Kluyveromyces lactis: one gene and its partners. The protein of the gene in region 1 interacts with the protein of each later gene in a biochemical or structural test. Links are inferred from orthologs where the notes say so. Each region holds a gene or a part of one and is shown in the gene's direction. Other genes may lie near its edges. The genes, in order: TIM23, COX4, MGR2, TIM13, PAM16 and PAM17.

Region 1 (3,500 bases):
ATTTAGGATAAGAAGTGTGTTATATCTGGGCAGATAATAGCAATTAACCGCAATGCGCTTGGTTTTAGACTGAAAGAACGTTTGGCGTTTTAAGGGAACAAATCTTTGAATGAAGGAAATGGAGTAGTTGTATTCGGTTGATATACAGCGGTTATTTATGTGAAAGCTGCAACGATTGGATTTTAGAATAGATTAGCGATAGATGAGGGTTTGAGATCACGTGACTTGCGGTTTCTTGTGGTTTGCGACTACAAGACGTCAGAAAAAAAAAAGCGGAAATAGTATAAACTGACTGACATGAGAGAAAGATAGTTAAGTTATAGACAAATTGTTACAACGGTATAGAAAAAAGCGTTAAGCATACAAGGGGTGAGCAGCTGTTGGAATGAAAATTTAGATTGATAGAAATCATTTCGCATTTTGTATTCCAGCTTCCTTAATTTTCTTCAATAGGAACTCGTCGTAACCGACTCTCATTTGGTTCACCTTCTTCAACTCGCAGTGGTGCAACTTCGTATCCTCTTTCTTAGTATTGTATAGATCAAATCCAAGCGTCACTGAGACTTCGGAGTCAATCTCCTCTAATATTCTGATCCATTTGTGTCGCAACAACACTTTTTCGGACTCGAACAAATCAAATTGGACTCTAGCACTACGTTCTGCCATTTTTTGTTTGTATTTCAATCACTGGGTGAAACTTTTCGTCATAAAGCGGGTTAACAGCTTGTGTTTTATCGTGTAATCACAGTGTAACAAATCATCAGAGAATGAAAATTGATGATTCTCTAAATTATTCATCGGAGTTTTTCTGAGGGGCAGACTGACATATGTTCCAGCGTCCTTTTCATGTAAAACTGCACTCTTTATATTAAATTTATGTTTATTCAAAAGTGTGAAGCCTTGAAATGCGTTAGTGCATGTATGCTACCTTAGTATCTGAAATGCTTTCACAAATTATCCCAGGCGATTTTAAAAAAAAACATTAGCGACAGTACATTGATATGAAAGGTTTATACGGATCCCTTTATATATATATACTGGTTTGAAAATGTATAATTTCAGAAAAGTCGTTTCCTAACAAATCCCCAATTTTCCTTTGTATTCTTTGTACGAATTTAAGGGCAATGCGCTCCTTTTTACAGATTTCTATCAATCTGCGTAGGTAAAGTTTCATCCAAAGATACCTCAGTTGATATCTGTTTGGAAACCCAGTGATAACTTTTGCAATGTCGTGTGAAATAACATTGTCTCATGGCGGGCGTCAGTTTTAAATATTTTTTTTGTCGCTAGAAATGCTAAATGAAATGACAAATTTTTTTCTCTCTGTTTACCCTTCGCTGCGCTCAAAACAGAGGTCAGCTACATCTGCAGAACGGTTCCGGTTACATGAATCATCATTTTGTACGATTCGTTGATTTTACCTTGAATGGTCTTGAAATCACAGAGTCTCTTGTGAAGCAAGAAGAAACAAGAGGAAGAAAAAAAAAACCGTAGTTCTTGAAATATTTTGAAATTTTGAAAAATTAGTGAAATATAATTTTACAATCGAAAAGTGTTTAAAGTAGTAGTATGATACGTTGAATCACCCTCGAAGGTTTGAGTTGTAGATACTAAGACAAAGACATCTTTTCCGTATTGGTATTTTGCTAGGTTACCATTGCATTTCAGTCTATCAAGGCAATACTCCGATAAATACAGGGCTTCATTATTGTCGAATACGGACCGGGTCTAATCTCTTCCTGATTTTTCATCCTTTGACCGATACCATATAAACTAAGGCTAATAATAATAATAATAAAGTATAGCTATGTCTTGGCTCTTCGGTGGTAAGAAGTCATCTACAGACTCACAAGAAAATACTACACCAGTTGAACAAAATGATGATAAACTGAAACAAACTCTAGGATTCGATCCATCATCAATTTCGAATGTGTCGAACGTTATTTCTGTTCCAGGAGGATTAAGTCCATCACAGCTTCACCCATTAGCAGGGCTAGAGCGTGGTGTTGAGTATATGGATTTGGAAGAAGAACAGCTTTCTTCAATGGAAGGTTCTCAAGGTTTGATTCCATCTAGAGGTTGGACAGACGATTTATGTTACGGTACTGGTGCTGTATACTTGGTTGGTTTAGGTCTTGGTGGTTCTTATGGGTTCATTGAAGGGTTGAAGAACATCCCACCTAACTCACCAGGTAAATTGCAATTGAATACAGTATTAAACCATATCACAAGAAGAGGTCCATTTTTGGGTAACAATGCTGGTGTGTTGGCCTTAACTTACAACTTGATCAACTCAGTGATCGATTCTTTCAGAGGTAAGCATGATGTTGCTGGCTCAGTGGCAGCTGGTGCTTTAACTGGTGCTATTTTCAGATCTTCTAGAGGATTGAAACCAATGGGTTACGCATCCGCTTTGATGGCTGCTGCTGCTGCAGGATGGTGCGGTATCAAGTCTGTAATCTTATAAGTTGAAAGAAAGAAAAGGATAAACCTGTGGATATATAAACACACGATAAACTTTTTTTTTCGTTTCCTTTCATTCTACACTACTATTACATTGGGTCTTAGAAATGGTTTGCATGAGGATCCTGTTTCAAATGTGAAATATGCCCCTAATGTCTCGTATTTACTGACCGCCCATTTCATCCAATTTTATCTTACGTTTGCATGTTGAATTCCCCTTTCGTATAATGTACAATATGATGACAATTTTAGCAAATTCATGCTATGTTCCACCACAGCACCATTCTCGCCATGCATGTTTTCCTACTCCATTACCATTTTCTACACCATTCTTGAGACTGTCGATATCTGAAATCAAGCATCAAAGAGTGAGCTAGAAATAAAGCAGCAGCTTGTTTAGAGATACATGGTCTTGTATATATTTTAATAAAGTCATCTTTCGTCAATATTTTTCTTTTCTATTATCTGCCTCTCCAGGCGGGCCTTGCTGGTACTCTAGCAATTATAACAAATTATAACAGCATTTGTGACGAACTTACAACGAAATGGTCTAACGAAGGAAGACACTTCATCACTAGTTTGCTCATAAATTAATATCATGTGAATAAAAGGGCATGTGTCTTCCTGAAACGAAACGAAACGAAACGAAACGATTTCTTGCTCTAAAACGAAAACAAAGTGTATATTATGTATGTCAATATATTAAGAATTGTTACTCACTTTTTTTAGGAACTTACTCAATCGTGGTTTAAGTATCTTTCTATCATGTGTTACTAGATTAATCATCTCGCCACTTGGCGGTTTCACTCGACTTGTAGCTTGCTTTAACTGATCCATGAATTTTATCTCATCAATCATCGGGTAAACTGCGTAAGCAAATTCATCATCCTCTTGATTGTTTCCTGTATAGAGAACCTTATTTGGAGTTCTTGGTCTTACAGCAATAGCTCTCTTCTTGAAAACACCTCTCGTAGCAGTCTTACTCAATATCTTTCTCACTTCAGCAGGGTCTGCACCTTGATCCAAATAGATGGCAG
Region 2 (3,298 bases), on another chromosome or scaffold:
CGTTTAACCAATGTCTTGTGAGTGGATTGATATCGATGTGGATCGGCTGTGGGGTTGCAGCTTACTGTTCTGTAATGGGTCCACAATCTGGTTGTAGACAAATAGTTACTGCTCGTTATCTGTTCGGTTGGTGGTTTGTGAAATTTATTGCCTTGGCTGCGATTGTCGGTGTTATGGGCTGGTCCATTGTGAACTGTGTTGTTGGAGGACAAATGCTAGCTAGTGTTAGTGACGGTAAGGTTCCACTTTGGGTTGGTATTATCATTGTTACTGTGGTATCGTTGCTTGTTTCCATTTTTGGTATCAAGCAGGTTTTAAAAGTAGAGACTCTGTTTGCAGTGCCCGTGCTAACTAGTTTCCTGTTGTTGTACATCTCAGCAAGTGACAAGTTCAAGTACTTGTACGAATTCAGTAATAGTGACATTGATTCACTGACTGTGAAAGGTTGCTGGTTATCCTTCTTTTCTTTGTGTTACAGTATCACATCAACTTGGGGTTCCATCACAGCAGATTACTATATCTTGTTCCCCGAGGACACTCCTCAGATTCAAGTCTTCTTATTGACATTTTTCGGAACTGCGGTACCAACCACTTTCGTTGGTGTATTGGGTCTTCTACTGGCATCATGTTCACTGTCCTACGAACCTTGGCAAGCTGCATATGATGAATATGGGATGGGTGGTCTCATGAATGCTGGTTTCTCTCGTTGGAATGGATTTGGGAAATTTTTGGTCGTTGTATTGATCTTATCTTTAATCTCGAATAATATTGTTAACACATACTCTGCAGCATTCTCCATCCAATTATCAAGTGTGATGTTAGCCAAGGTGCCTCGTTGGATCTGGGCTATCGGATGTACCATCTTTTACCTCGTATGTGCGCTAGTAGGTAGAAACAGTTTTTCCACCATCTTGGGAAATTTCCTACCTATGATTGGTTACTGGATTAGCATGTACTTCATCTTACTCGTGGAAGAGAACGTCATCTTTAGAAACTGGTTCCACCATCTATATAAATTGGAATTCCCCAATGACATAGAAGTGAAACCACATCATAAACTAAGGAAATTACCAAGGCACATCCACAGGTACAACTGGGATGAATGGGACAACTCTGAAGTCATCACAAGAGGATTGGCTGCATCCGCTGCGTTCTGCATCGGTGTTGCTGGTGTGGTACTTGGAATGTGTCAAACGTATTACGTGGGGCCACTTGCCGCAAAGATTGGCGAGTATGGCGGAGATTTAGGTATGTGGCTCGGTATGGGTTTCGCAGGAGTATCATATCCACCACTAAGGTACTGCGAACTGAAGAAATTTGGCAGGTGAACCATTTTCCCCATTATCTGACATTATACACATATAATAGAAACACACATATATGTACACACATATATGTATATAACCTGTCACGCGACGCGCGCCAGATCAAATGAATAATCTCTTTAATATTAATGGCATGGCATTGCCTATATAAATCACATGACCTCTAGCCAACCATATCGCAGAATTCTCACTCAATTGACAACACCCACACTAGATCCTACTCTCGCCGGAAACAAAATAGAAACAAATACGAAAGACTACTCCAGCTAAAAAATGTGTACATCACTATGTACGAGTAGACACCTTTTTTGTATCTTTCCTTCTTCTCCCTGCTCCAATCATACTGGGAAACATGATGTGATTTTTGTACGTTTTTTGTTATAAGCGATAATTTTCATTTCTTGATTTTCGCAGGATATTGGAACCGAATGTATATATATGAATAATATTTTCAACAGTGATTTCAGAGTTTTAGAAAGTAGCTAAAGACGTTTTATCAAGTTTGTTCAAGAGAGTCATACGTTTGTTTCAGAGGGTTTTCTTTCGCCGATTACTTTCATTTGCGAATATATTCAACTGATCACCTTATCTGTCTCAGCTAGCTTACAGTATCCAAGTGGTTCTTTTTGTCATATATTGCTAATTGATTAGTTCATTACAATTCAAATATACCTTTGTTCCATCGTTTTAGATTCACACATCGGAGTATCTAAGTTATCACCTATCAATCCAATCACAAAGAAGAAATAATGTTGTCTCTACGTCAATCCCTATCGAAGTTGTTCGGCCCAGCATCCAGAGCTTTTGCTACCACCAAGGTTGCAGGTGATCAACAAGTTGTTAAGACTGCTACCAAGTTGGCTGAAGTTAACGGTGCTGACACTTTGATTGGTCCTGGTGCCAAAGACGGTGAAGTTCCAACCGAATTGGACCAAGCCACTGGTTTAGCCAGATTGGAATTGTTGGGTAAATTGGAAGGTATCGAAGTTTTCGACACCAAGCCATTGGACTCTTCCAGAATCGGTACCATGGAAAACCCAATCATTGTTGAATCCTACGATGACTACCGTTATGTCGGTGCCACTGGTTCCCCAGCTGGTTCTCACAACGTCATGTGGTTGAAGCCAACCGACGGTCAAGTCGCCAGATGTTGGGAAACCGGTTGTGTATACAAGCTTAAGATGGTCGGTGTTCCTCAAGAAGGTCACCATTAAGCATTTTAATCCTTCCTTCCATATCATTCCCACTTATCCTGGTAAAAAAAGGATTAACAACCAGTGTACCACTATATCATTCTAAAAATTCCAATACAAATGTCAAATACACAAACCTATTCTAAAATATTACAAAATAATAAATTACACAAGCTGAAGCAACAAATTACACAAAAAGTTTAGTGGGGACATATACTTGAACTGGTCCTGCACATAATCAAGATTTGTTTATATGTTTGGAAAGCGGGGAACAGGCCAGATCTATTGAATTTTAAAAGAATGATTGATTCATATTTTATACCAATTGCCTCTATTTCTTTCCCCCCCCGGATCGTTTAAACCAATTAAAGACTTATGTTACACATTGTTTCTCTACATACTACATTTCACAGGTAAGAACTCATTATTTAAATTAAGTACGATTTTATCAATAAAATTTCAAAAAAAAAAGTCTTTGTTTCAAGGTGACACCGAGGGTCAGTATGACAATTACCGATACAGAAGTAATTACCGAATATTCAAAACACTTAGTAGTTGCAAAGCAACCTTTTCAGATTATATGTATATCATCTATGAAGGGGAATTACCCCAATGATAGATGGACTTATCGGCACTTTAAGGGTTTGTTCATTTTCAGGGACTGTTTCGAAGTGGTGTTGATGATAAAAGGAAAAACAAAAAAATGTACACCCATACATACTCAAATATTAAAAAAGTTTCTCCCAAACAGTTGAAGCGAAAGAAAAGTGTAATTTAACG
Region 3 (2,894 bases), on another chromosome or scaffold:
CATTTTTGTTTACCAACCCTCAACAAAAGCACCCTTTCATCTATCAAAAACGGGCTAAAGTTTGTGGTGTCATCCACTACTTTGTTCTTATTTGGTCCTAGATAGATGGATCCTTGTTTGATTCTCCTCCTGGACTCAGTCTTTGAACAATCGATCAATTGACACACAATATCAGACAATGGCGTATTGATCGGTATCTTGTTCAAAATTCTATTCTCATCGAAGACTCTGATCAGTTCAGCTGCCTTAACGTTTTCAAAACCTGAACCACCAAATAAAATTCGCGATACAAACTCTGCATCGTCACCTTTACCAATTCCATGAATCAGATCCACAACTTCTTTAGCTAACCTTTTTTGAGCGTATCTTTCATTTGGCGATAGTGCGTGTTGAGCCATGATGTCTTCAATTAATTCCAACGGTAACAGAGTAAAGATCTTCAATTGCTTTGCCACATCTGCATCAGTAGTATTCACGAAGAACTGATACATATCATAGGAGGTATTGATTTCAGGGTCAATGAATACTGCATTACCCGCCGATTTACCGAATTTTTCTCCAGTGGAGGTCGTCAATAAGGGCACCGTTAAACCAAAAGCTGGACGAGTCTTCACATGCTGGGGAGAAATTCTGTTGATAAGATCGATACCCGCTGTAATATTACCCCATTGATCGTTACCACCAACTTGGATGGACACTTGTTCATTTGAGTACAAATGGTAGAAATCGTATGCTTGTAAGATCTGATACGTGAATTCGTTGAAACCAATACCATCTTGACTTTGCAATCTCGAAGAAACGGAATCACGACTCAACATGTTCTGTATACGAATATGTTTACCGTAAGTAGCAAGGAAATCTAACATCTTAACATCCTGCCACCACGAAATATTGTTTAGATAGGTGACCTTACCTGGTGCATCTCTTTCCTTAATCCTAGACTCGTAGTATTTCAATCCATTCGTGAAAAATGTCTTGTACTGTTCCACAATCCTTTCAATGTTCCCTTGTCTCTTTGCTTCAGCGATAACATCCCTCTCAGTTTTCCTCCCACTTGGGTCACCAACTTTGCCGGTGGCCCCACCAATTAACGAAACGACGTCATGCCCTCTCACATAAAAGTTCAAAAGAACCATTAAGGGCAGTAAATTACCCAAATGCAAAGATTTCGCAGTGGGATCTGCTCCACAATATAGTTTGATCTTATCACCATTACTCAGTTTCTCAGACAATAACTTCTCCGGCTGTGAAACCTGCTGAACCAACCCTCTCTCTCGAAGAACCTGCAATACATCGCATTTCGTTGCCAAATTTCTCACAAGCAACCTCCCAAATATCATTGCAACTTCGAAGCTTTCAAAGCAGAAAGATCAACTGTTAGTATATATTAAAAAAGATAAAGCTTTAACAACCTACTACGGCCAATGGCGCTGTCCAAGACTGACCTTTAGGCAGTTTTCTCGTCTGAACTTCAAAGTCACATCAAATCGGACTCGAATCGAAATTTTCGAAGTTTTCAAACTAGAAAAAAGAATCAAATTACTGTACCAAATGTATGAACGACCAACTCCACAAAACGTAACGGAATTAACCAGGGTCTCGCTCTCTTTCCAGACATCCAAGACTAACGCGCGCACAGATAACACGAACCACGACTTGAACCAGAAATGCCACCACCACCAAAAGTTTACGGCCAACAACAACAACCTTCGAACTGGGAAAAGTTCAAGATGGGTTTGATGATGGGTACTACCGTTGGTGTTTGTACTGGCATCTTATTCGGTGGTGTTGCCATTGTTACACAAGGCCCAGGTCCAAACGGGTTTGTGAGAACCTTAGGGCAGTACATCGCTGGTTCTGCTGCCACTTTTGGCCTATTTATGAGTATCGGTTCTGTCATTAGAAGTGATGGAACTTCCGACAACTCCCACAACAATGGTTTCTACCATAGTAAGATGGCCGAATTGCAACAGAGATCAAGATTTGAAGTATGGAAAGCTAAACAAACTTATGGTTTGTACAAGGATTAAGCGTTTTTACCCAGCAATTGTACATGGGTCAGAGGCAGCGGTACCTACTAATCTTTTCGTATCTACTCTATTTCTGTCCTCTCGGTATATTTTTAAGTAAAATGAATATTGTAAATAGGAATTTAAGATGATCAATTTTTCGAGAGGAGCTGATGAAGTAAAGAACCTGGGGAGATTACAGTACACACGTAGGGATCACAAAGGCATACTGCGAGCTTCAGAATTTGTTTCCATTGCAGTTAGTGAACGGTGTAAACACACACTTTGGTATATTCGTACCGTTTTTTCTATTTGGAAGAAGTTGACATAGATAGTAGAACAATAATGTTCAGACCGTTGGTGAAAAGAGTCGTAACTCGCCGTTTTCTAGCGGCTGCTAATAACAGTAATGCCCATATAGAGATCAGGACTCTAGAAGATCTTGCCAAGCTTCAATCACTCGATAACGTGGATCCTAAGTTAATTAGTAAGTTAATCAATGACAAGACTAACGAGCTTAATATTAAGAACGAACTACAGATGTTGAAACAGTTACAGGCAGAAGAACAGAAGACACAGGAGACTTCTCTCAAGAAGTTTGTTAGGCCAGCATGGATCTTTCTACTAATGGGTTCTATCGTATATCTTTCTTGTCATTATGTATGGTGGAAATTAGATTACGAGGAAAAAGAACTCGAATATACGCATAAAGTGCACCAGTTGGAAAGCGAACTAGCTGCATTGAACGAAGCACACAATTCTTCGGTATCTTCAGATAAAAATTCTAAAAGGTCAAGCAGGAAGTGGTATAAATTTTGGTAAATTGACGCTAGGGATGATCCTCTATTGAATCATCTAGAGATTGTCATTTTTTCTCCCAGTATT
Region 4 (2,910 bases), about 830 kb from region 1:
GACATTGGCGTTAAGATAGCGGGGTTATTTTCTGATTTATCATTGATGTGACCCCCAAGCACTGAAATTTGAATAACTGAACGCCTGGAACGCCTCAGAGATTCGATTCCCTGCTAGTTTGGTGAAAGAATTTTCACTTTCATTAGCGTTATTCAATTCATCTACAGCACTTACGATTTTCCTTACATTGGTCTCTATCACCAATCCACCTTGGATAATCTCTTCAAGTACACTTTCCAATGTTTGCCAATTGAAGATTAAGTCTAGCTCATTCACTTCTTCGAAACATTTATCCAATGCCTCTACAAACGTTTGAATCAAATCTAAGATTGCTAGTTCTGATTCTTGTTCATCAACTATAAATGTGAAGTATAACGTGGCGTAGTTCTTGTATATGATTTGAATATCTTCGTTATCACCTGAGTCCATTAATAAAGATGGAGGAGTTACTAAGAAAGATGACTGCACCTGACTGTTACGCTGAGATATAAGTTCATATACTTGCTGTAATAAAAGCGTTTGCTTTTCAACCTCTACAGGTGTATAAAATTTTATCAATCTTGGTTGACATTTCTTGTTAACTGTTGCATTTGGATCATCATTAAATGTTAGTAAAGCTTGATTTCTAGGGTATTGCTTGGTAACACTTTACATACATATTAATACTGCATGAATCATGACTGGCCGTTGCCAATTGGTCTGTGCTTGTCTGTTATCAAAGGCAAGTTATTGAACTACCTTGTTCAATGATATCTATCTACTATTCTTCGCAAAATATACTTGTAACTTCTCATCATCATTTTAACTTATTTCAATTGAATTGGCACTTTCGATTTTCAAATGTTGGATTCATGCTGAGAATTGTAAAGATGGGTTTTCTGTACAATAAAAGAAAACGAGTAAGAAACACATCGAGAGCCGTTAGTGAAACCTTACCGATACTATTGAATTTGCATTGAATGAATCGAAATGCTATAGTGGATTCAGTTTATGAAATAGGTAGCAACGCTTGATAAAAAAATTGAGTGCTCAATAAATTATTGAATAATGAAAAAGAATGCATCGGCCGGGAATCGAACCCGGGGCCCAACGATGGCAACGTTGGATTTTACCACTAAACCACCGATGCCTAGTATTTGTTGATGTCTGTTGTACTAAGTTTGGGGTACAGTAACGTAATGATAATCATGCGACTACATATATGCTCCGTGTGACAAGTACTTGGACAGTGGTTCATATTAGTAAGTAAATCACTCTGGGGAACTTCCAAACATATCTTCCAATAACGCGGTAAATCGCAGGAAAGGAGAGGTTGTGAAACGGGCTGAAACAATAGTTATCTATCCCTTCCATTGCTGCTCGATGTGAAGGAATGTTTCTTCCTCATATTGAAAAAAAAAACTAATGATTTGAAGCTTTAGCATAAACTGAAATATCCATTGGCAATCTACAATTAACAGCTATAATCTATCATCCAGGCCCCTCTGAACATTGCATCGGATCAATAATCTATCATAGAACACATTAAGATATGGCTTTAACTTCGATCTTTGGTGGTAGCTCTTCATCATCTGGTACCCCAGCCACATCCAGTCCTAGCGATGTCAAGACCCAACTTAAATCTCAAATCTCTCAAGAATTAGCCATCGCCAATGCTACCGAGTTAGTTAACAAAGTCACTGAGAACTGTTTTGAGAAATGTCTGAATGCTCCATATGCTGCTTCTCAAGATAACTGCGTCGACCAATGTTTGGCTAAATATATGAGAAGTTGGAATGCCATTTCAAAGGCTTACATTAACAGAATTCAGCAAGCTTCGGTTAACGGTGAAATCTAAGGGGCGCAACTTTTGAGATAAAAGAAGTTATTTAATGCTCTGATTCATTACAAGCTACATGTATATAGATTTGTATAATGTTATATTCGCGTCTTACGTATAATCATACATTATGAATGCTATTTCATACCCGTCGAATAAATTCAGGTATATATATATAAACAAAAGTACGGTATTGGTACACAAATAATGGGTAATTCTTTTTTATTATCGTATAGACATGATTAATACACAGAAACAGCACAAACAATACATTGTATTTAAATACAATTGAGCCGCATATGTGATTGATTGATGAGATTTCAAATAAGTGAGTTGAAAATAAATAGGAGTAGAGGGAAAAACAGCTAACAACAAATAAGATGAACATCAATGCGCAGATATTCACGCTTTATGGTCATATATGTTTTACCCTTTTTATCTCTTGAATCGAGTGAGATTCCGATAGCGAAAAGGATGAATGTTATGAAAATCTGAGAACATCATTCCAAAGTTGATGTCCTAGGCCTGGTAGACGTATGGAGTGCCGGATAGATAAATGTTTCCCGACAGTAGCGTATCCACATTTTTAAAATATGTTTTGAAGTGACGGTATATTCTAAGAAGTAAAATAATTGAACAAAAGCATCAATGAAAAGACACTTAAAAGTATAATGATGAGAAATGATATAATTCAAATGTCAAAAGAAACTTATTCATCGTCTTCTTCATCTTCTTCACCACCGTTCATGATACCACCCTTGATATCTTTCCATAACTTACCTTTGTTGTGGTTTTCGTACCAAGAGGTCACACCAGTATCGAAGGCAGCTTGGAAAACGAAGGCAGAGGCGAACACGGTACCAACGAAAACAGAGTTTCTCTTAAAGACAGTTTTGTACAGAGTAGAGGCGAAAGACTGTGATAATTAAGTTGTTCAGAAAAATAATTGTTAGTAATATGATCTAATATTTCATGTAGTCAATCCGCAATGATCTGGGAAAACAGCCGCTGGATTTTGCCCAGAAGGTGTCCATTCTTCACTTGTTTGATGTAACTGATATACATGCGATAAGCCATGGTCGTACTTCGAA
Region 5 (3,188 bases), about 700 kb from region 1:
CTTCAAAGCAGTTTTGGAACCTGGTTTTTTCTTTGGCTCCACGGGTTGTGCAGATTGAATATGATCTAAAGTAACATCCAGCTGTTCCATTTTCACCTGTGGCTTAACTTTTGCGCTTTCCATTTTAGCTGATGGCTTTAAGGTCGGAATTGGCATGACTTGTTTCTTGCAAGCAGCTGGTGCAATTTTGGCACGGATGGGCTTAGGCTGGGTATGAGTGATCGATGTTGTCTGTTCAACTTGTATTGCTTTTGACTTGGCGTTTGTAGATTTACAGTTAGTCAACGGGATAGTTGATGATGATGATGATGATGAGGAGCTTGCGGTTGGCACTCCTGTACGGACTGCAGTCGTTGTAGATGACGCTACTGTACCTTGATCAGAAGAAGAGCAACTTTTACCAGAATCAATAACAGTGGCAGCCAAGTGTTTTTTCGATCCCGGTCTCAAATTCTCAACTTCTTTCACTGATTCCACAGGTTCTTGTTTAATCTTGGCATTAGTACTTGAAGCAGAAGCAGGCGTAGTGGACTCTACAGCCATACCCTTGACATTTGCCAGTTGCTGCTTTATCGATAAAGAAGGACTGGGTTTTCTACCCGGTTTAGGCCTCGGTGGAAGAACCCAGTGCCTAGACGTTCGAATCGTGATCCCAGTGGGTTTCTCATGTTTCTTCGGCTGTAAATTAGGAGCAATTGTAATCTGCTGATGAGGCCCAGTGTGTCCGTGAAGGGGCTCCAATGAAACTGGCCTGGACATTAGTTAATTCTTACTCTGTGTCTGAAGTGCTTTTATTATAGAATTCTCTCCGGACCAGCGAAAACAATATTAACTGGTTCGGAACCGGAGCCGTAACCAGAGTTGCGAAGTATGCGTTTGAAAGTAGGATACAAAAACCTTACGGCGAGATGCAACCTAAATTAGTTTGAACCACCTGCGATACGATTGAATCACGCTTGTTGAGTCCTTGTGTGTCTGTTAGAACCTGTTTTAGTTTCGGAGAAGTCGTTTGTTTCGGTAGAATTAACTACTCAACTTTTCAATTTAAACCGAAATTGAGAGAGAGAGAGAGAGGGGGAACAATGGTAAAAATGAGGGCATGATACATCAAGACGAGCCATCATGAATTTATATATCTCAGGCCATAAGATAGTATGGCCTGAGTACTAAGAGGTATCTCAAGTTTGAAATGGGGATTGGGTGTTGAGTTGCTAATAATTGATCACGTGACCATGACCCCAGATACAAAGCCACGCTCCCAAACTGGATCCCCCCCCTCCTCCCCGTTACAGTACTACGCTAGTACTAGCATGCTGAATTCACATCCCCAATCAATGCAACAGCAGCGTAGCTGCTGTTGCTGGGATCACCTATCGTTTAATTTCTTGATACCTGCGTCGTTTCCGATGCCACATTCTACAATGTGGAATGAGAAGCTAAAACCTCATAAAAATACCCTATAAAAAGCCTGAATGAGCGAATGCAATTACAAACTCCATCTGTAGTCATTGTAGACTAGCTAAATCATTCTAATGAGGCATAGCTGTCAACCAGATATATAGTTATTTGACGGTGTCACAGCAAATATGTGGGGCTGGTCTTGACATCCCCGGGTAACCCCTTCTGTTTTCGAAAAGTCATCGAAAAGTTGAGAACAGAAAGAACTGGAACTAATAACAGCATTAAACACTAAACTACTCATCGGATTAACTTCTAAGCTTTGTCTAAGAACGCCGTTCCAGTTCGAGTAAACTGCGCATATCCAAGAAATACAACAAGACTATAGGATATGGCACACAGAGCGTTTATACAGGTGATTTTCACCGGGGCACAGGTGTTTGGACGTGCGTTTGCGGAATCTTACAGACAAGCAGCAGCTCAAACAGCTAAACAAACGGCAAATGCTTCTAGAGGCCGTGGTGCTAGCGCAGAATACGGAGGTATCACTTTAGATGAGAGTTCTAAGATTTTGAACATTGAGAATGAACAGGATATGAATTTGGATAAAATCAACGAAAGATTCAAGTATTTGTTCGAGATCAACGATAAAGAGAAAGGTGGATCATTCTACTTGCAGAGTAAGATTTACAGGGCAGCAGAGCGTTTGAAGTACGAGCTTGCTGAAAAGGAAAAGGCTGCCAATCCAGAACTGAATCAAGAACAAGCGAAGTCGAGTTCCACGACGGAGTCACCGGAGTTGAAAAAATAGCGTAAGGTCATTCTCTCTGGCCTAGTATAAGTTTTGTAAATAGTTCAAATAAACCGAAATACACGCATCGCATGCTCATCGTATCATGTTCAGCACAATATCATCAGTGGTTGATGAAGCTGATTTATGTCTACAACTAATTAATACAAAAATTCTCTAGAAGATGGGAAAACTGTTCCATCATGAAGAAGGGCACAACGGAGAGTGAAAATCCAAACTCTCAGGCAGCCATTACGCAAAGCCCTCTGGATCACATGCAACACCTGGAAGAACAACTAGAGCGAGCTGTTAAACCGCTTCTAATCATCACTTTCCAGACCTCTTCATAATGGTTAAAAGAAAGAAGTGATGCAAAAAACCGGGAAAAGGAAGAGACTTCCCCTCCCAACTCAATGCGCTTCCAACTTTATTGATCTAAGAAACCGGAAACGAAATGGAAACTGTGGCCAGCTTGTTTGGGGCTAGTCAGGATCCATTCAGCTATGGGTTAAAAAATGGTAACAGTCACTCTTCTCCAGTATTAACTAAAGCCGTTCCTAGATCTCCGAAGAAACCTAGGAAAAACTTCTTGAGAAAAGAGATAACCGAAACCGTAGGTTTCTATGGTGTATATGTGTATTAATATTATCTTGAGATAGTACTAACCACTACTGATGATTGGTTTATTAAGAACAAACATCAAAAAGATTTTCCAATCTTTGAACTGTAAGAGTGTTTGAAAGAGGTTCAAAGTGTTGAAAAATTTGCCACTTTTATACTATTGATCGGAAAGATTACCCGGACATACGTCTCTACTATTATAATTGATTTAGGGTTTTACCAGGTAAGATATCGTTGACCAGACAAGCATGTTGCAGATATTTGGGGCCCTTCATGGTGTATATTGCCTAGTCGAGAATCAGTTTATATGAAATGTAAATCTGTTCATCCAAGTGGGATCTTTTGAGTCGAACTTATAAGCAATATACTGCTCATCTTG
Region 6 (3,439 bases), on another chromosome or scaffold:
GTGTTAGAAGGTTCAGCAAACGTGTGGTTCGCACCAGCGCCAGAAGTGATGATATATTATCCGAAGAAGCGTGGCTTGATTTAGATATTGGCGAGTACCATGTGGTGAATGACCCATTGGTATTGAGTTCTAGTAGCGACGACGATGAAATGGAACAGGAGGACCCCACTAGAAGGATCGAACGCTGGATGAGCACGAATGCAGTGGTACGAATGCAAACTCCCGATATTGCTTCTGTTGATGACGATTACTACCAAGATTATAGCTCTAATAGTTCGGATGCCGTTTGTCTAGTGGTGCCGTACCTTTCGGAGAAACTCTCTTGTTTGACGGAATACCAGTTGAGATGGGTTCACGATTTTGTCGCGGAAATGTTACCGCTGCTACCCAGGAAATCCGTGTCTCCTGTGTCATCTGTCTCGACATCTTCCTCATCGTCTGAGATCTCTTTTAAATCGTCCAGAAACGAAAAGTACAGATTGCCAAGGGTTATAGTCTGAGTAAAGATAACGCTTGACAATCACTGGGCCTTATAGTTCCCAGAAATAGTCATTACGTTTAACGGCAGGTCCGTTAATCTGGTTGGTGAATATCCGTATTCCACGTTAACCTGTGTCAACAGCTGTGATGCGGTAAAATCTATACGAACATGCGGTGGCCCAATTGCTTGAGATGTGACAACATCGGTTCGTTGTCCACCTTTATATCTCAAAATCAGAATCTGATCCTGTTCCAGCATGGGCAGATCCCATTGGATGGTACCATCCACTTGGTTATAAAATCCAGTAGGTTTAGATAAAATATCTTGGGCCTTGGTGCCTATCTTTATACAAACTTTCAATAGTGTATAATTGACAGGAATTAAAGGTCTTAAATTGATCATTGAGATGATCTCGGCCTCTTTGAACTGCCATACGGGTGTCACTAGAATCGGACATTGAACCTGTGGTAAATTTGTCACTGCATATTTCACTAATCCTGTAACCACGTTGTCCCATTCGCGTTCACGTTTCAATTTGTATATATTCTGAACCACATCCACTGGCTCCAGGAATGTGTCGTTAATCTTAACGGAACTAACATTATTGAATTTCATATACAAATCACTCGTTCTTTGATCCCACTTGGTACCATTGATGGCAACTTCGCCAACAAGTGATACGTTCGTTATATTATCGTCTGTGATAACACATGACAAAGTCTCTACTATATCACCATTAATCTCTGGTAATGGTGGTGACTCTGAATCTGGTCCTGATTCTCTCAATTTCAGTATATTCTCCCTCTCCTGTAACTGTAGCAGTAATTCCTTGGATCTGACAAGTTCCTGGGACACTTCAGAGAACAATTCACTATTACTATCGAATTTTGTCTCTTTGAGTTCTTCTAGCGATTGAATATAGCCCTGCACTATTTCTGCAAAAGCTAGAACATCAGACATTATAACAGAAAGACTTACTTTTTGAGACGTGCAAGGCAAACAATATAACCTATAACTATAATAGACAGCTTTAGAATAGTGAAAGTATCATGCAATGATGAACGGACGTAACATATATCTGTATCAAATGAAGATCTATTCGAGATATAACACCATTTGATCAAGAGATTGGAAAAAGCGGTACTTTCATTACCCGGACGTGGATATTGAAGCTTGTCAATTCCAAAAAAAAGTTTGGAAAGCTACCAAATGAGCTTATAACATGATTTCAATAAGGAATGTTCGAGGGGTGGATCCAGATCACCTGTTTGAACTAGCATCAAACAGCCAATTCTTCTGCTGTGTTACTCGATAAGTAGTATACTCGGATATCAGAGGCAATAAGAACCAAATACCACGGAAAAATAGCCCAAACTATGTTGAGACTAGGAATCAATCTACAGAACCGTCTTTTGGTTGGACTAAATGGACAATCTCTTTTGAAAAGAGCCGTTACACGCAATGCCGTTGCCATCAGAATGAATAGCACTAATGCTGGTAAGACAGCTTCTCATGAAATGACATGGCCAGAATTCTTCAAGCTACGTAAAAAAGAACGTGTTTTCAACACGGCTTCTTCGGTTGCGACAGCCATAGTATTCGTTAACGGTTCGTGGTTTTACTTCTCCACTTTGGAAATCGATCCAACTCAAACAATCTTTGGATTCGATCCACTAATGGCAATTACTGCTGGTATGATCACATGTGCTGCTGTTGGTTGGTTATTGGGACCAATTGTGGGTACTGCATTGTTTAAGGCCACTTCCGGTCCCAAATTATTACAGTTTCAAGAGAAGCAACTTTCATTTTTGGCCAAAATCCAAAAGAACAGAGTCAATCCTCAATCACAATCTTTCAGTAACCCTGTGCCGGATTACTACGGTGAAAAGATTAATTCGATACCACAGTACAGACAATGGCTAAGAGATTGTCATTCTTACAAAAGAAAGGCTAGTGAGTTCTTGTGAAGCGGAAAAATACCAGAAAAAGTATGATGACTATCACTCTCCCACCCAAGGAAACGCCTTTCCGTAAGTACAAGTAAATAGTAAATAATAAATAGTGGTTGATATCTAAAGAAACATTCGTTAAATCAGCATTAGCAATTGCGTAATGGTATATGCCAGAGAAACCGGAATGAAAAGGATCGATACCCAACAAAAAAAAGTATATTTGGATGCGGCGAGGTTCGAACTCGCGCCTGTTAACATTAACAGACCTGCATATTCCGGGTAACCGTGTCCGTCACTCGCAATCCACTTCTGCTCTACCCGCACCCAATAGCCGCCAAGCAATCAGTGAAGATTTTCTGGAGGACCCACAAATTTTTGATTTTCGGACCAGGCCCCTTACAACTCGCACAAAACTGCGTAGAAAACCTCTGTTTAAAGGTTTAAGGAAACGGCTATCGCAATTTTCTTGGCCCCCCCAAAGGTAAAGCAGAATGTGTCAATTGGAAAGCGACGGAGACGGTTTTGATGCCGCATTGAGTCCGCATGCTCATTTCTTGTCCCTGAAGCAGGCGCCTTAACCACTCGGCCACACACCCAGTTCTTATACTGTTAGTAGTTCAACTAAATTGGGAGTAGTTCTTCATTTCAATTTATTATATTCCAGCGCAGTGTAGCCCCTTTATTAACTGGGTTAACTGGGTTTCTTCGATAATCTACCGGTTGAATATGGGTCTATTTACCCCAGTTATATACCATAAAATGGCTCTCTGGAAGTTCTTCTTCAAGGTACCCGGCTGTTCTGTCTGTTCTTTTCATTGATGTCGCGGGTTTGATTGAGGAAAGGAACGCATAACGGATTTCCGTACAATGTGATCTTCATTTCTACTCACGTGACTTTGATTTCAATTTCTTGGAATTCGAAACTTCACTTCCGTTCGTTCTTTGCCAGGAATTCATTACCCTTTAACATGCCTACCTTATGCTTGAATACAATAGCCCAGTCATT

What was found.
Region 2: the proteins of TIM23 (region 1) and COX4 are reported together in a solved structure, tested with the Saccharomyces cerevisiae proteins (2 studies listed by BioGRID, with this or other methods). The link is inferred for Kluyveromyces lactis from reciprocal best matches to the Saccharomyces cerevisiae genes TIM23 and COX4.
Region 3: the proteins of TIM23 (region 1) and MGR2 form a complex in vitro, tested with the Saccharomyces cerevisiae proteins (2 studies listed by BioGRID). The link is inferred for Kluyveromyces lactis from reciprocal best matches to the Saccharomyces cerevisiae genes TIM23 and MGR2.
Region 4: the proteins of TIM23 (region 1) and TIM13 interact in a test that uses a peptide from one of them, tested with the Saccharomyces cerevisiae proteins (2 studies listed by BioGRID, with this or other methods). The link is inferred for Kluyveromyces lactis from reciprocal best matches to the Saccharomyces cerevisiae genes TIM23 and TIM13.
Region 5: the proteins of TIM23 (region 1) and PAM16 form a complex in vitro, tested with the Saccharomyces cerevisiae proteins (2 studies listed by BioGRID). The link is inferred for Kluyveromyces lactis from reciprocal best matches to the Saccharomyces cerevisiae genes TIM23 and PAM16.
Region 6: the proteins of TIM23 (region 1) and PAM17 form a complex in vitro, tested with the Saccharomyces cerevisiae proteins (2 studies listed by BioGRID). The link is inferred for Kluyveromyces lactis from reciprocal best matches to the Saccharomyces cerevisiae genes TIM23 and PAM17.

The regions. Positions count from the first base shown.
Region 1 is NC_006042.1:577,879-581,378, reverse strand, and holds TIM23 (protein transporter TIM23), read left to right. Parts: upstream 1-1,807; coding exon 1,808-2,467; downstream 2,468-3,500. Other genes in the region: KLLA0_F06061g (uncharacterized protein), read right to left, coding at 409-666; RRT12 (Rrt12p), read right to left, coding at 3,166-3,500. UniProt on the Saccharomyces cerevisiae protein: Essential component of the TIM23 complex, a complex that mediates the translocation of transit peptide-containing proteins across the mitochondrial inner membrane.
Region 2 is NC_006040.1:436,579-439,876, forward strand, and holds COX4 (cytochrome c oxidase subunit IV), read left to right. Parts: upstream 1-2,074; coding exon 2,075-2,539; downstream 2,540-3,298. Other genes in the region: TPN1 (Tpn1p), read left to right, coding at 1-1,328. UniProt on the Saccharomyces cerevisiae protein: Component of the cytochrome c oxidase, the last enzyme in the mitochondrial electron transport chain which drives oxidative phosphorylation.
Region 3 is NC_006041.1:2,160,645-2,163,538, forward strand, and holds MGR2 (Mgr2p), read left to right. Parts: upstream 1-1,667; coding exon 1,668-2,030; downstream 2,031-2,894. Other genes in the region: tyrosine--tRNA ligase MSY1, read right to left, coding at 1-1,340; INA17 (Ina17p), read left to right, coding at 2,355-2,831. UniProt on the Saccharomyces cerevisiae protein: Required for cell viability in cells lacking mitochondrial DNA.
Region 4 is NC_006042.1:1,406,759-1,409,668, forward strand, and holds TIM13 (protein translocase subunit TIM13), read left to right. Parts: upstream 1-1,531; coding exon 1,532-1,837; downstream 1,838-2,910. Other genes in the region: APS3 (Aps3p), read right to left, coding at 40-581, 657-678; QCR9 (ubiquinol--cytochrome-c reductase subunit 9), read right to left, coding at 2,529-2,735.
Region 5 is NC_006042.1:1,282,489-1,285,676, forward strand, and holds PAM16 (import motor complex subunit PAM16), read left to right. Parts: upstream 1-1,789; coding exon 1,790-2,209; downstream 2,210-3,188. Other genes in the region: transcription factor HAP4, read right to left, coding at 1-759. UniProt on the Saccharomyces cerevisiae protein: Essential component of the PAM complex, a complex required for the translocation of transit peptide-containing proteins from the inner membrane into the mitochondrial matrix in an ATP-dependent manner.
Region 6 is NC_006037.1:561,149-564,587, reverse strand, and holds PAM17 (Pam17p), read left to right. Parts: upstream 1-1,857; coding exon 1,858-2,448; downstream 2,449-3,439. Other genes in the region: KLLA0_A06127g (uncharacterized protein), read left to right, coding at 1-500; SYP1 (Syp1p), read right to left, coding at 521-1,441. UniProt on the Saccharomyces cerevisiae protein: Component of the PAM complex, a complex required for the translocation of transit peptide-containing proteins from the inner membrane into the mitochondrial matrix in an ATP-dependent manner.